Linked DNA regions of Oreochromis niloticus. The protein of the gene in region 2 interacts with the protein of the main gene of each other region in a pairwise test. Links are inferred from orthologs where the notes say so. Each region holds a gene or a part of one and is shown on either strand. Other genes may lie near its edges.

Region 1 (8,665 bases), on a different chromosome or scaffold from region 2:
AAATTACACTTGAGCTTGACATAATGTCTGTGAATATTACATCACACTGAGTCCACGTAATAGCCACTCTGGTTCTTGAAGTGAAGTGAGGAATATGTTGACACTGGACGAGGATTTGGATTAATCAGGATTGTTTTGTTTTTGTTTTCTTGGCTGGGGTCATGAATGATGAAGCGCTGCTCTTCTTCGATGTTTCCATTTGCTTTGGTCGGAATCAATAAAATTATTTTTGATAAGGATTTTCGTCTTTTGTTTCCTTGTTCTGAAGTGCCGGTCATGTTAAACATGTGATCGTAAATGCCGTCTGTGTTGTCTTTAATGTCGAAATATGTTTTTGTTACAGGTTTGAAAATGACTTCCTGTTGTTCTAGGTCAAAACAAAAAACAATCAGGACATGGCAAGAAGGATGTAGAAATGTAGAAATGGGGGTTAAACCATGCAAGGTTGAAGGAAAAAGCCTGTTGCCATCTGCTGTGCAGCGCAAGCTAAATCCTAACAATTTCATTGGGATTATAGCAAGTGAGTAATCCAGCTTTCCTTTAGGACTAGAGAGGAGAGATTACCCTTGAGGATTAGCTCCCAGCAGATAATAAACTTTATTAAAATGCAATCGGCTTTTGTGAGGCTTCTTCCATCCTCACACACACACACTTAGAGGTGGGCTCTGCTGGGGAAGGGCAACGGCGGACCCTCAGGGGCGGTAACATGATGGGATGAGGGGTGGATGAAAGGAGTACTGTGTGTGTGTGTGTGGGGGGGGGTGGGGGATAAATGGATGGATGGATGGAGGATGAGGGTTTGATGTTGAGATCACAACCAGCACAGCTGAAGGACAACCAAAGCTTGATCTTGAGCTTTGTGTTTCCTGGAACGCCAGCTTGAATTCCCTCGACTCCTGCCCCTTACCTCCACCTTCCAACCTGTCACCAACGCATACGTGGATAAACCCTCTGATCTTATCCTATAGCCCGCTCTATCCCGTCATCCAAACCATGTGTTCAGCCTTTGCAGTTTTGATGATGACATAGGTGAGTTGAGGCAGTCAATTTCTCTCTCCCTCCCTCACTCACACACACACACACACACACACACACACACACACACACACACACACACACACACACACACACAATAGGGTGATTAATAGCCCCACATTAAAGCAGAGGAGCATCACAGCTGAGCAGCTGTGGTTGTGTGACTTAATCAAACTCTCAGGTACTTTCAATTAGATCCTCAATGACACATTATGATTGCCAGACTGGATCGAGAAAAGCAGTTCATCACAAGAAATCTTCCTTAAGGTATTTATTTATGCCTTTTATCCAGTGCATCATGACACTTTTTTTAAATATCGGCTGGGATGGAAGACCATCAGAGTGAAGCAGGAATTCTGTATCCTTAAACTTTTTGCACATCATGAAAATCTTGGAAACATTGTTTTTCTTAAGCACTTTTCTCCCGCACATGCGATCAGTTAATCTGTTTAAACGTTTACCTGTGTTTGTTAGAGGATTGGCGTCAGCCATGCTTTGTGCTGCTCACGCTACAGAAGCCCTTTATCAGGTGTCTTGAGCTTCAGTGAGCTGCAAGTGTTATGCTGGTTCAGACTAATGATGGTTAATGAGGAAGTTGGCAGCAGTGTAATATCTGTCTGCAGCTTCGCCAAGGCTGAGGTGAGCAGTTCACACTGAGGACAGAGGCTTCAAATCTAAATTAGGACACATTCGAAGCTGTTTGCACTCTTTACACCGTTTAATCGAGTTCACACACACCACAAAATGTCAGTTATGTGATAGTATGAATATAGTTAGTGTGTGTAGAGTGTGTGTTGGGCCAGTGCTTTGCCCTCATGACCTGTGTAGGTGCTTATGCATAAAGGTAAACACAGTCCACACTGCTACTGTAATGGAGTCAACTAAGCCACAGATTAACAACCAACAAGCAGCTTTAATTAAAAAAAAGTATGTTTTTATTAAAGCTGGGCACAAATCTCGCAAAATAAGGGTTATCACCATGAGCCTGTCTTATCGGCGTCTTATTTTATCACTTTGTGGAAATTAAACAAGACATAACTAATTAGTGAGTGTTAGTTATGGTTATTGAAAACCATCCATATGGTAGCTGCAGTTTAATATAAAGCTGTACACGGGTGGATTCATATGTGATGGACAGACATGATAGTAGTTTGGCCTCATCAGTGAATTACTCCAACTGTTAGTGTTTGTTCATGTGTTGTTGCCTGTCCTTTCATATTTAACGCTGAAAAGAGTAAATCGCATTAAAAGAAGGCTCAGAAATAATCATTTCTTTCGCACGCAGACTGGAAGGAAACATAAATCCCTGTACAGATTAATCTGCAGTTGTTGTGTTTTCACTCATCTACATGTTTTTCTTTGACTTGTGTGACAGGAAGCTTTCTGCAGTCCACCAACATCTGAAAACCTCAGTTTGTTCAGTTTGCATTGTTGCCGATTGACCTTGTTACAAATCTGTTTGTGTTTTCAAGGTCAAAGACAACAAATGCTTGTAAAAGCAACCATACAAACTGCAAAAACAGCCAGCAAATGGAGCTTAAGGTGAGACTGTCATGGCGTAGCTTTGCCTGCATACCTTGCCACCGTATATCTTCTTGGAGTAATACGAGCTGATTACTTTCTTCTAAACTTTTTTGTGTGTTTTGTCTAAAACTGATGCTTTGAACTGAGACAAAGTTGCGTTATGAAACCACTGACTGAAGGGTAAAAACCTCACCTTCCTGCCCTGTTGCTGTCTTCCATAAATTAGACAATGCAGAGTTTTATAGTCACTCGTCTCCTGTACGCTCTCTGCCTCGATGTTTATTACCCCGCCGGTATTGATATTAAAATGCAGGAGGGGCTTGATGCATTTTTCTGTCATCTCTCTTTCTGACTTTAATAATACTATAAAGCTTCCTGCTGTGGATAGAGGGAGAATGCGGGTGTGGGGTGGAGTGGGGTGGGTTGGGTTGGGGTGAATAAATTATGAAAAAGAGGTTAATATATGGTATTGGTATACATTGCATCCTAACTAAGCCAGATCCCCTTTCGGGTTTTAAACATGCAGCCTTTTAAACGCAGGAGTCACGCAGGGTCAGACCCATCTCATTTCTCTGCTGCAGTCCCTCCCCCTTTCATGTGGACGCTCATCTGCCCAGATCCCCAAACATCTCAGTGAGTGTTCATGCAGCCTGTAACAAGGTTTATGCAATAACATACTTCTGTCAGTTCACTCAAATTAAAGGCTGATGAATGAGCACAGATTATGAGTTTTTGTTTTGGAAATTGCTCCCAAAGACCCCGTACCAGTACAACCAGCATAACCAGCACAACCAGCATAACCAGCACAACCAGCATAACCAGTACAACCAGCATAACCAGCACAACCAGCATAACCAGCACAACACCAGAGTTACACCAGATGAAACTGTGAAATACACCCAGGTCGATGCGTTTGTCTTAGTCGAATGAATTTGTGATTCATTCCACATTAATAAATGTTCTGCAGCCATGGGTTTTATATCATTTTAAGTAACTACTTTTAAACTCCTCCAATATAATCACTTTCACTGCGTCATGCTTGTTTAATCTCATAATTTAACTTTCAGGACTTAAACTTGTGAGTTCACGTCACTGCATCATTTGCATGACAACACAACCCTGACCTTCACTTCTGCTGATCTGGGCTCAGTTTCCCAAAAACATCGTTAAGTCTGGATCATCTCGGTCCCATTGTACTTCTTTACAATGACACTACCTTATAGATGATTTTGGGAAACGGGGCTCTGCTCCTGTTTTCCCCCCACCCCTTCCCCTCCAGAGTTAGCATATAGCTTACAGGAAGTGCTTGGATAATGAAGTTGGAGAGGAGCCAACACTTGTCAGTCACACCGCTTTCACTCACTCAGCCAACACTGCTCCTTTCACCGAGCATCAAAGATGCAACACTGGCTTTCTGTGGAAATCTTTAGGTTGTGGATGCGGGCCTTCACACATTTTTATTGAGTATAATTTGTTATGATCAGTCATCTGCAGTAAAATAATCAGATTTTGATAGTTATCTCAAATAGAAATATCAAAATACAACACTGGAGTTTATGCATTTTATTTTGTTTTGGGTTTTATTTGCTGAAATTAAAAAAAAAAAAGTTTAATTCAATAATTTTGGTCAAAACCAGTCTGGTATTTTAAATGATATGCATTAGCTGTGTGTGCTTCATAAACGGTGAAAATGCGAACTAATTCAGAATGCCTATTTTCAATCTAAGGATGCAGAGAAAACAACAGGACCTGTTTTTCTTCTCTGGGAGGAACTGCAGAGGAACTGTAATCTTGTAGGAGCTGTAATGTGTTTTTGCAGGTCTGTGGACTTCTGCTAATCACACATTAACATCATTTTTGCATCTGGAGGTTTCACCTGAATCCAGATTATTTTTTGCACTCTGGTTTGCAAGAGCAGCTTAAGTTTCAGGTCTCAGCTTTCATTCATCCTTATATCCATTTGCTTTCCACGCTTATCTAATGAAGTTCATGAGGGTCGGGAGTCTATCCCAGCACCTTGGGCGGGTGCCAGTGCATCACAGGACTTATAATTGAAACTGGATGATTTAACTAAAAATGGCTTTCAGTTAAAGAGAGATCCTGCTGAATGTTCCTGTTTGTGTGTCTTTATCTTGTCATAAATAAATAACCCCATATCAATAGTATTTCAGTTAAAACCGTAAACCTCATCAGTGTGTCGTGAAAATAAAGCAAAATCCAATCCTTCTGCGGGCAGGCTTGGCTTAAACTGTTGTAGTTATTCGAGTCAAATGAGCCTATTACCGCCTCGTCTTAGCACGACAGGGTCAGGTTCAATCAGGGAATTGGAAAATATCATTTCTGACGGGAATAGATTTCGTTTGTTCAACCAATCTCTTCTACTAATTACCCAAATGGACAGGAGCTGTCAGGAGACAATAACTATTCCCTAATAGAATTTGCCCCCCAAGTGCAATTTAATTTTCTCCTCCGAGCTCTCTCCTAAGGTTTCCCCCTCGCTTTCTGCCTCTCTCCCTCTCTCTGTTCCTTTCCTGCTTTCGGACCAAATGCGTGGGGACACGGTGCCACTGCTACCTAATGTTGTTTTGTGGGTGGACGCCGGAGAAAGTGTGGACTGACTGCTGCAGTTTCCCTGCGAGCTCTGGCTCACCCCGCTGAAACGAGCTTCGGCGGTATGGAGGAGGAGAAGAAGAAGGCGAGGAGGAGGAGGGAGCGCGGAGAGGAGACAGACTGCCAGGTAGGTCTGCACGATGCGCTGGGCTGTAATTCGTCTTGGAAGTCGAGAATACATTTACGCACTTCTAAAGTATAAGTGTTGCATGAAGGCAAGTCACTGGAACATAACGCATTTGTCTCTGCGATGAATTTTATCTGAATTTGTGCTCTGAACCGTGTTATCATCATTGCGAGGTAAATTTGCTAATGTGCTCAGCTGACATCCGCTTTGGTTTGTGTGACTAACATTCAAATAATACATTTAAATGCGCAAAACTAATAAACACTCAAATGAATCTTTTTCTGCTGTGGCTCGTTATGAGCCAGGCCTGCTGCAGGGTTTGATCCCACAAATGAATCACGCTCCATGAAAGCCTGATCACATAAGATAGGTGTGCTTCTGTATTCTGACTCCCTGCTCTCACTAAGATGGATCTATGAATCGCAGATTTGCGCTTTGGTGACAATGAACTCATCCACTGAAATATTAGATCTAATTAGAGGTGCTTGGGTCAACGGCGGTGGCAAAGGAGTCGCCCTCTGTTTGAGTTATTGTCCGAGAGCTGCCTGCTCTCAAGATTATATTCATTTAGATAAATAACCTCCTTCGAAATATGTATCATAAAAATAGAAAAATCAAAAACATCTTTACTGATTTGTGTTAAAAATGTTTACGAATTAAACTTCATTTGACTGTCCGGGCAAATTTAACAGAGCGGAAGCCGTTTTAGTCCCCTTGGATAATAAAATTAAATATGTCTTCTCTGTAATTTCACACTTCAATTACTATTATTTTTTAACCGTTGTGTGCAGCATAAATATATTTGTAAAATGCAAAACGATCACCCCCCAAATGTGGATTGTTTTGCACATCATTCAGTCGACTAATAGCCACGTTGCCTTGCCATCTCATTTAAAGATGAAAAACGCACCTCATCATTTACTGTCCCACTAAACCAGATGTGCACGCTCGTATCTTCTCTCTCGCTGCATTTGCATCCGTCAATTATTCTAATTGTGTTGCCCTTTGCTGACAGTTTAAGAGCATTTTATCTGCATTGTTTTCTAGGACAGCTAAAGGGCCTCGATTCCAACAATCAGAGTAATTGAATAGTCGAATAAATTGAATGATCTTGAGGGGAAAAGTGTATAATGAAAATAAAGTGAGACCATATGATCCCCTAGCCACACGTGCACGTTACTGATGGATGGATGGATGGATGGATAAAATTCCTGTAATATCACAGCCTGCCTTTTAATCATCCTGATGTCCGTTTTCATTTTACTAAATTATATCTGGAAACGTCACGCATACAGGCGAAGGGGATTGTGGGTCCAAACACCATAGGGGGGCTATAAAAAATAAAATAAATAAATAAATAATAAACAGAGATAGAAGCAGTTTGGGGGCAAAAAAGGGGAAAAATACGCATAATATGACAACTTAAATTTACTTTGCCCGAGCTTGTTCTCCTTTTTTCTGATATTTGCAAAGCCAAATAAAATAGTCCGCTAGATTTGATCTATTACTAGTGCAAAATATTGTGTCACATCATAGAATATCTAAAATATGTGTTGGATATTAAAGAGTATAATTGGGTCGAATTGATACACCACTTGAACTAAAACCTCACCTAAAATAGCCAAGTGGTAAATAAACTAAAAGGAAATGCATTCATTTATTGTTTGTTTTTGGAATAAAGAAAAATTACTGGCTTTGTTGTAGTTGAACATTGTGTGTGTGTGTGTGTGAGCTGCAAACAATCACCTGGGACCCTCAGACGGACTTGGAGTTGATGGAAACAACCTGCGCTGGTTTGGAGGCGGACCGCGGCGGCAAAGCGCCACTGTGTGCTTTTCTTTCCACGCTTGAAGTAAATTGGAAGCGAAGATTGAGTTCATCTAGCCTGAACTAGCGGCCCTCCGGAGGGAATATCTTATCCGGGAGAGCAGTCTCAGACGATGGGGTTTGAAACGAGCAGTGTCAGGAGGACTGCGCCCAGACTCCTAATCCTACCTGTCACTGAGAGAGCAGCTGCACGGGAGCTGCCACTGCCGGGGAAAAGGGCTACAGGTGACGGTGCTGTGAATGTGACTCAGACGTGTCCAATAATATTCCTTCTGTGGTGTGGCTTCATTTATTATTTTTCCCTTTTTTTTGCTCCCTTAGTTTAAGTAAAAGCTCAGATTACATCTTCTTTTTAAAGACATGGATGCTTTTCATGGTACCTACATGCATCTTTATAGGGCCAATCAATCCCATCACCAAATAATAAAAATGAAGAAAAATGCGTTTACTTCCATTAAATTGACTGATGTCGCCATCCCACCTGCTGATATTCTATAAAAGTTAATTTTTGCATTGCATTTGGTCACAGACGTGGGTGCTGAAGAAACAACACTGCAGTCTGGACCATCCATAGGGAAATCTGCGTGGACAGCAGACACGCTTTCTTTTTTATTGCTTCATGGATTATTTCTAAAGTAAAATGTCATGTAGCTGAACTCTAATTTTCCTGGCTACACGGGTCCCTTCTCCTCCTCTCCTAAAGGAGCCCTGCTTGCCCGGGGACCCTCCGGAAGCCACTGCAGTGAGCTATTTATGGTCTCCACGGGAGCGAGGCCCCGCCTCTCCAGAGACTTTGTCATATAGCATGTAAGACTCCCCTGCTCCTCTCCTTTCTCCTTCTTCCTTGTACACCTACTGAGGATGCTTTCCGCCTTCGGGGGGCCTCCTCTTCCTGCTCTCCTATTGGCTCCCGGTCAGCCTCTGCCGCGGTGACGTCAGGCCCCGCCGCCCCTGCAGCGCTGAATGGACCAAGCAGCCTGTCTGATCCACTCCAAAACAGCTCAACACGGCACGGCACAGCACGGACACCATCCCGGGAAAAGGGAAATAACAGGAATAGAGGCTAGACGGGACAGCGACAGAGATCAGCCTCCAAACCGCAGAAAGGCCCAACAACATCAGCATCATTGTTTGTTTTCTCCACGAGACAGGACGGGGGAGTGCGCCCACCGTTTTGCGGGTGTATGTGCGTGCGCTTGTCTCCCGGTTTGGATCACGATGATGCAAAGTGCGGCGGTCCTACCGACAGAGAGTCCTGTGAAGAGTTTACCGGAGATTCTCGGAGTGCCACTGCAGCGTAAGACATTTTTTTTCTCCTGTTCTTCTTCTTCTGTCCAAGATCGGTCTGGAAACTGGTTGGCGAGCGCAACCGGTGCTGCGGGGATTTGGCTGTAGGGAGAGGGGCTTAGTTCCAGCAACCCGAGCGAGATTGGGGAGTCTTAGTTTGTCACGTACACCACTAATGTGCCATGCTTAGTCTTTATTTCACGGTGCAAAAGCGCCTCATAGACGATTCTGCTTCGGCCTCACAGCCACCCCGCA
Region 2 (8,072 bases):
ATGGAGCATGTAATGATCACCGTAACGCGGACCGTAAATTTTATCTGAGCTAAAGGTTTAAATCACCGTCAATTTCAGTCTTTTATGTGGGAAATAGATTCAGAGTTGGGATAAAAATTCTCAATAGAGTTTTTGAGCTCAGCAAGGAAATCAGTGTCAGATGTCAGTTGGAGCTGCAGTGTAATGATACACTCAAGGGAAAGTAAGACACTGAATGGCCCGAAGAGTTTATTAGTTCCATTCCTGAAGCAATGCCCCAGCTCCGTCTAGATGCGGCTCCAACCTTGTGTATGCTGTCATTTATTTTTTCTGTGGTTTTTGGCAGCATGTTCATATTTCTAACTTGCATAATTTTCACAGGATATATTTTTATGAAGAGCAAAATATTTAAAGTTAAAGTTTATTTTTTTTAAGTTTATTTAATCTGGAATAATATTCCTGTCTGTTTTTTATTCATATTTATGTTTAAAAAATATTGTTTTAGTGTGTAAATATTTATCTTGTTTGGCCCGCGACCTAAAGTGTGCCTTGAGTTTTGGCCCCCTGTGCGATTGAGTTTGACACCCCTGACTTAAAGCATTAAAAACTTTCACAGGTTGGCTGACAGTTAAACACCAGTGCATCATTTCAGACCCACCACTGAGTTGAGTGAATATTAAAGTTACAGTTTACAGCCTGCAGTGCACTCGTCAGGACATCAGCTGTTGGTGGTGAGCGGAGAATCTGGGTCTGGTTGCACAACTGCTCCCTGCTCTCTTAGCTGCTCTTACAAAGGTTAAGAAACAGGACACTCTGATCTATTTGCTGCAATTCCAGACACTCACAGTACACTGACCTTTCAAATAGACTTCTCAGAAGGCATCGGATCATTAGCAGCGCAAAATGCCAAGTGTCTAATGAAACTGTGCATCGCTGGATAGTTTTGTTCAGTCGGTAAAGACGTAATGGGCTTCTTCCATTAGGCTGGAGATCTACTTGACCCAGCAGCACTTAATCTAAATGTGCTCAATTAATGTCTAAATGCATAATACTTTAATTATGCTATAGATGTTCCCTAAAGATGGATGTTAAATTAAAGGAAAAACCTAATCTCTTGAGTGAGGGGATCTTGTGGCTCTGTTATGCTGACGGGGAACATTGGCATAGTTTGTACTGAGTTTCTCAAATCAATACAATGCTGTTCAAAGTAATGTAATATTTCTAGCGGGATGTAGACCTCTCTTCCAGGGTGAGATCTCCATCCACAGGGCATGAGAGACTGTCATCATTTTCATCTTCAAACTGAAGGAGGGTGGATGTGTGTTCATGCAGGAGTGATTGCAAGTTAGGCATTCCCTGATTCATCATCTTTTTCTTTTGTTTAAATCCTACTTGGTGCCGTAATTGATAAAATCAATGCCATGCTGCAGTAAATAGGACTTAAAACTGCTGACTGAGATGATAAATTCATTAGGAAGGCTCATAAATTTAGTGAGAACCCATTTGTCTAATGTCGTCTTGCAAACAGAGGATTTCCCATTAGGAGAAAAAAAAAAGTAGTTTTACTTCACTCTTTAGACCTATAGGCTGTGTTGAATCTTTATATACAGTAAATGTCTGTTACTGTCTGCAAGATCACTGCGTTATTAGGACAACACTGACATCGTGTGGTCTGACTGAACTGCAACAGACTACTTTTATGTCAGTCGGCTTTAGGCCATCGTCAGAGCATGTGCTGGTGACGCAGAAGATAAATATCGGACATCTCCATTCAGTCCATCCTTTATTTACAGGAGCGCAGTGCTGCGCTGGTTTCGGCACCTAATCTTGCGTCCCTCATTGGCTCCTCCCAAGTGTCTCCATCTCTGCTGCTCGCTGCCAGAGAGGATCAGTCCTTCATTGACCCGGTCAAAGCTGGAACAAGCACCTCTGTTTACAAGGTACAATCATGAATGTGTCTGTGATCCTTAATGAAGATGCCTCTGACTCCAGCTAAGTAAACATTTTCTTTTTCTTTTCTTACTTTTTTTGTTGTTGTTTTTTTTACTGTTGTCACTAGACGTTGATGGGCAGTGTGCCAGACAGAGGAGGACGACCTGGGGAAATTGAGCCTCCTATGCCAGCATGGACAGGGAGACGCTCGAAAGGCAGCAGAGGGGGATGGGGAGGCGGACAATCTCATAAGCATAAGAAGAAGAAAGGGAAAAAAGATTAACTTGTCCATCTTTTTGGCCTTACTCATCAATTTAAGAAATAAGTGATCATTTTGCTTTATTGAAATCCTTGTTGCGAGGTAAACTACGATTGGGAAGTGCTGTATATAATTTTGTAGTTATAAATCTGTGTATAATTTATAGTTATAAGTCATGCACATACCAGATTGTGTACATTTCTATAAAAGCAATGAAGTACTGGTACATGACCAGATATTTTGGTAAAAGAGCAGAAAATGGAAAAAATGTTGGCTTTCCACATTTATCAGTAGGTTTGTTTAAGAATAAACCTCTGAAACACACATCTATTGGTATTTTGTGCAATTTACATAAAGCATTTTTTAAGGATTATTGCATGAATATTTTATGCTCACTTCACATTTTGGAGACAAGAGTTCCTCTTGCCTTTTTTAGGTGATTTCATAAGATAGCAAACATGTTTATGTGGAATGAAAAAGCCTCACTTACATCTTAAAAAACTAAAAGGACCAGTCGGTGAAGGGTGACTTTGAATATCTAAGAATGTTGTTTTATTGTTACACATTAACCAAGACTCACTTCCCCCTGAGAGAACTCCTTGGTACAGCATTGAGTCATCTCTCTAGTCCCAGTGTTTCCACTTCAAAGTCTAAACTGCCTAAAGAAGGAAAAGATCATCCAAATATTAATTATCTTAAATATATTTGGAATAAACTGGTTTCAATGTTTAATTTTGATCTTGCCAAACCCAAAGTTGTGCTAAGGTAAAGCTCATTTTGACCAGAAGTTCTAGTAGTCCACAGTGATGTATTGAAATAATTTCAAGATCTTGTACACCAGTTTAATAAACAACAGTTTCAATTGTTTTATTATCTGAAACTCCACCCTCAACCATCTGAATTCTGCAGATAGTTATGGATTAGATTAAGTACCTGTGAACTTTAGGAAATGGTATTTTAACATCTGTCTTTTCTTCTCTGTTGATTCAGAGCCTGGACAAAAAGGCCTCTTGAATTTTCAAAAAAAAAAAAAAAAACATGAGAAAGTGGTTTAAGTCTGAAATTGGATGAGAAAGCGTGAGAAAGGACTTCTAGGAATACTGAAGTAACGGCTGATGCAAAGAACATCTTGATCAATTTAAGATTATGAATTGCTTTTAACAAGCTGGGACCACATCCTTATTTAAGTTTGATAACAGCAGATTGAGAAAGCACAAATTGAAGCTGCGGTTTGGGAACGGCCTCAGAGGGGACTGGCAGCAGATCCCAGGCCAGGCAGATCTAATGAGAAGTGACTGAATTGGGAAAAAAAGGAGAGAAGTGTTGGGCATGAAAATGAGTACAAACAGCTTGTGGCGCAGGAGGCATATACCAGTGCATGAGGTGTGGTCCTGCACCTGAAATTCAGATAAATTATCTCCAGTTATTGGACACCATACAAGTTTTGAGAATAGGGGTGAAAGATGCAAATATATACTTTGCTAAAGAGCTTCTGATTTCTTTCCACTGTTCTGCAGTGATGGACACAACATGTGGGGCAGAGTTGAAGTTCCGATTTTAATTGGGAGTAACCAGAATTGACAAGATTAGAGGTGATTGTTTCAGAAGGACAGCTTGTGTTCAGCAGCTGGAGACAAAGTTAGAGAGGTAAGGCTGAAAAGGTTTGGACATGTGCAGAGGAGGGATAGTGTATCTCCAAAAGTTGAATCTGTTCATCTGGACGTAGCGTCCAGATGAACAGATTCAACTTTTGGAGATTTACTTTCCTGGATGATTGAGAATGCATCAAGAAGGGATAGTGTATGTTGAAGATAGAGGTGCCAGGCAGGAGGAGACATGGAAGATTCATGGATGATATCTGATTTAGAGAAACTAAATCACATGCAAACAATAATTAACTTATTTTATGACACACATGCGTTTAAATGTGTTATTTTCTTCTTATTTAAAGTTCTGAATAAACCTTATGCAGCATTTCGTGGGTAAAAATACATACATATATATAAAAATACACACACACACACACACACACACACACACACACATACATATATATATATATATATATATATATATATATATATATATATATATATATATATACACACACACACACACAGTTTAAAGGACAAAGAAATACATATGAAGCACAATGTGAGACGACCTTGATCCTACAATATGAAAGATGTAAATAATATTATATGACAATATCAAAAACCGGAGTTCAATTTTTTAAGACAAATATTGAATAAAGCAAAACCGTTTAAGACTTTGTTGATGGCACAGAAAACAATTCTAACCTAGGTGAACAACGTAATGCGTTACACAACACTCACCTGGCGGAATCGTCCTTGTTGTGTATCCTGCACACCGGAAGTTACTCGGGAGACAAATGATGTAACACGAGGAAAGTTCCGGATTGTCTAAAGGTCGCTGAATATAAAGCGGCGTGACAGCGTCAGTGTGTTTTTATTTAAACCCGCAGGTAAACTGATCTAAGTGTTCAAAATGCCGAGAGGAAGCAGAAGCCGGACGTCGAGGATGCCCCCTCCAGCCAGGTAACACTTAGGGTTTAATTCCCCCTTTTTAAAGAAAGGTAGAGTAGATATTTTTAGTTAGCACAAATGCTAACGTTTAGGTAATGTCATAGTGCCGTATGTTAGCTAGGAAAGTGCAGGTCATGAGGTGCTTCAAGTAGCTTATAAAGATAATTTCAATTTAAACCTTAATTGCTGGTTAATCTGGGTATTGCTCAGAAAGTTACTGTGTTATGAAAATGATGAAGGTCATTGTCTTTATCGTGGTTTCCTCTGTAAAAATCCCCACATGCTAGCGAAGCCAGTAGAGTTGCATCAGCTTCTATAGTTTTTCTTCTAACCTGCAGCTAAACTGAGACTTTATTCTTCCGAGTTATAATTAAATAAGTCGCACAAGGGTTGGAAGTATTTCTTTCTCTTCTCCTTGTGGGAAGTATAATCCCTCTGTGCCCTCATTTCTCTTTCACTAAATATATCTGAAACTAAGCTGAATATATAGCTGAAACTAAGAATTGCAAGAACACTTTTGACTCTTGGTGCTTAATAATTTGTGCCAATGTCTCCACCTGTAAGGCCAAGCTGCATAGGGAAAGACTGATTATTTTCCACAGTGACATGTTGTTTAAAGTTCACTTTGGGCACAGGTGGGCTTACTTTATCCAGCTACAGGATAACACTTTTTCTTAGCAAGTGAAGAACAGATCCCAGGAGGAGACGCAAATCCCTTCGTGGTTGCATCAAGAAGAGCAGCTGAATATTATTCTCGCCTGTGAATAAGTGATCAGCTGAAAGTAGCTCTTTGTTGTCTTACTAGTGTGGAGATATTCTCCGAATCAGAGCTTCACCTTTATCTAAGCTTTCATAAACCTTTGCAGTGAGTCAGAGTAAAAGCTTGAATAACAGATGTCAGCTCATATCTGTTTTTGATTGTGTTTGGACTAAAAAGGTCTTAACAAAACGTTTTTGTTACAGCCGGGCTCCACCATCCCCACCACCTATGGCCCGGGCTGCTCCCCCTCCCTCCTACGCCCCGGCTCCGATGCAGGTGCCTCCGTCCGCTGTCGGCACGCCAGCCGCAGCGCCCAGGCAGCCGGGTATGTTTGCCCAGATGGCATCTACAGCCGCTGGGGTGGCAGTAGGCTCCGCGGTAGGCCACACAATCGGCCACGCCATGACTGGAGGTTTCAGCGGAGGACACTCGGAGCCTGCCAAGCCTGACGTCACATACCAGGTAAGCCCAGGTTTAGCCAGCCACAGGACTGGAACAGTTTCAAGGAAGATTAGGGTGTCTGAGACATGGTATGCAGGGCCTTTGCACCACGGAGCAGGTGAAAAACAAACACCACATTTTATGTAACGCATGGATGCAGTTACATGCACTGTGGTAGCTCAGTATAATAACAGCCAGATGGAAACAATACTGTGAATATTGAGACTTTTAACTAAAAGCAGTGAAGGAATCATCTTGCTTTCATTAAGACTCTTGAGTGCAATCAGTGCTGGTTGATTAGAGATGAATTACTCCCTCTGCTCAATCTGGGTTTGTTTTTTTGTTCTGGTTTTTTATGTGTACACACATGTGATCAGGGTGTTTTGAAAATACAGACACAGCTGCTGAAGGAAAACCTCAGTTATGAAAAAGTCCAAAGGCCAAATGTGGTTTATTTACATTCACACAAGTGCAGGGAAATATGCATAATGATGTTTGTCTCATTAACCCTGAACCCAGTACATCACTATTATCTTTATGCAGTTACATTCATAGTAGATTTTAAGATATGAGTGATGACCAGTCATTTACTCTGCTTTTCTTTATGACAAAAAGGACTGAGAAACCACACGCACTTGAGCAGATTGAGGATTGCAGTTTTAGATATTTCAGCATTTTTATCGATAGATGTGTAAATATATTTACTTTGTGTCATTGATGGAAGATATTCCATCTTTTTGATACAAAACTGAAACTCGTTCTGACACTTTAAAATCTGTTTTGGTCTTTAACACACATATGATTTAATCCTCTGGCTTGTGTATATTAGGAGCCATACCAGGCCCAGCCCATGTACCAGCAGGGGGCCCCTCAGCAGCAGCAACAGCAGCAGGCCTGCTCCTACGAGCTCAGGCAGTTCGTCGAGTGCGCCCAAAACCAGAGCGACCTCAAGCTCTGCGAGGGCTTCAGTGAGGTGCTCAAACAGTGCAGGTTTGCTAATGGTGAGTGAAACATGTCCAGGCTTTGTATAAAAAGAGACTGCTGTGTCTTATAGTCGTTGCTTTTAATCATTATTAGTAATTTGATTTATTTAAAGTGAGTGTAGTTACAAAATGCTAGCTAAACACTTACTACGCATGAGGGGTAGACGCATAAGCTGTTGCACATTTTCAGCATGCTCCTGTGCTCCACATAAAATTCTGTTTAAGTACTGGATCTTCCTCATGCATATCAAATAGATCGAAATCAGGCTGTTGCTTTTTCAGTCTCATTTTTCTCTTTTTAAATGGAGTTTAACCCAGCAAGCATCGAGGCTTTGAATGAGCCCTTAGTCGCTCACATATCAAAGCCAAATGACTTTGCACTATTCTAAACTCCTGTAATACCCAGTGTGGCCATAAGGGGGAGCCTTAGTCTAAGTATGTTAAGTCAGTTTAAACCATTTAAAGTATTAACTGTCCTGGTTTCTCTGTTTCTACAGGTCTATCATGAGAAAAGACGCTATCTGCAGAATGAAGATCACATCTCCTTATTAAAGATACTGGGAGGGTGTAATTCACAATCAATAAACATGTTTTAATGATCAATTGTCATCGGACAGCCTCATTTCTCAGACTGCTGCAGAGCTTGTAATCATAGTCTTATAAATAATGTTTATATATTTTGGTTTTAGGTTTTAGTTCATGTTTGAGGTTTATTTTCAGTTGTCAGTGCGTGCTTTTAATTTAAATCCCGTCTCTCATGTCAAGACTTATAGAGAGAAAAAAGGCCACTTTCACCTTCTGGCTGCTGCGGTTTGATTCAGACTAATAAAACACTTGAATTAAAACGAGACTCTGTGATTTTTTTTTTGTTCCAAGTCTCCTCCTCATATGCGCTCTGTATTATTACATTGAAGCGTTTCTGTTTTCACCTGCGTTTTCTTTAATTAGACTTCAGCAGCTACAAAGGGGTGTCCCGCACCTGTCCTGTCACTCTGCTCTCAGCGCAAAATTCACGAGCTGCAACCTGCGCGTGAAGTAATGTTTTGACTCTAAAAGCGTCGTGGCGAGAGCACGAGCCGCAGGGTATTATTTCATGGATGGGGTTTTTGTGAGGACTCATTCAGGGTGTCCTTCTGCTCCTTCTGCATCTGCCGAAGCAAATAGTTATTTTT

The links. The genes of interacting proteins can lie anywhere in the genome.
Region 1: the proteins of chchd2 (region 2) and lhx4 interact in binary tests that used the Homo sapiens proteins (3 or more experiments, as listed by UniProt). The two-hybrid records come from large-scale screens. The link is inferred for Oreochromis niloticus from reciprocal best matches to the Homo sapiens genes CHCHD2 and LHX4.

Annotation. Positions count from the first base shown.
Region 1 is NC_031986.2:44,083,997-44,092,661, forward strand, and holds the start of lhx4 (LIM/homeobox protein Lhx4), read left to right. Parts: upstream 1-5,072; 5' UTR 5,073-5,296; intron 5,297-7,028; 5' UTR 7,029-8,086; coding exon 8,087-8,420; intron 8,421-8,665. UniProt on the Homo sapiens protein: May play a critical role in the development of respiratory control mechanisms and in the normal growth and maturation of the lung. Binds preferentially to methylated DNA.
Region 2 is NC_031979.2:20,060,561-20,068,632, reverse strand, and holds chchd2 (coiled-coil-helix-coiled-coil-helix domain-containing protein 2), read left to right. Parts: upstream 1-4,557; 5' UTR 4,558-4,678; coding exon 4,679-4,728; intron 4,729-5,679; coding exon 5,680-5,938; intron 5,939-6,746; coding exon 6,747-6,918; intron 6,919-7,397; coding exon 7,398-7,408; 3' UTR 7,409-7,745; downstream 7,746-8,072. UniProt on the Homo sapiens protein: Transcription factor. Binds to the oxygen responsive element of COX4I2 and activates its transcription under hypoxia conditions (4% oxygen), as well as normoxia conditions (20% oxygen).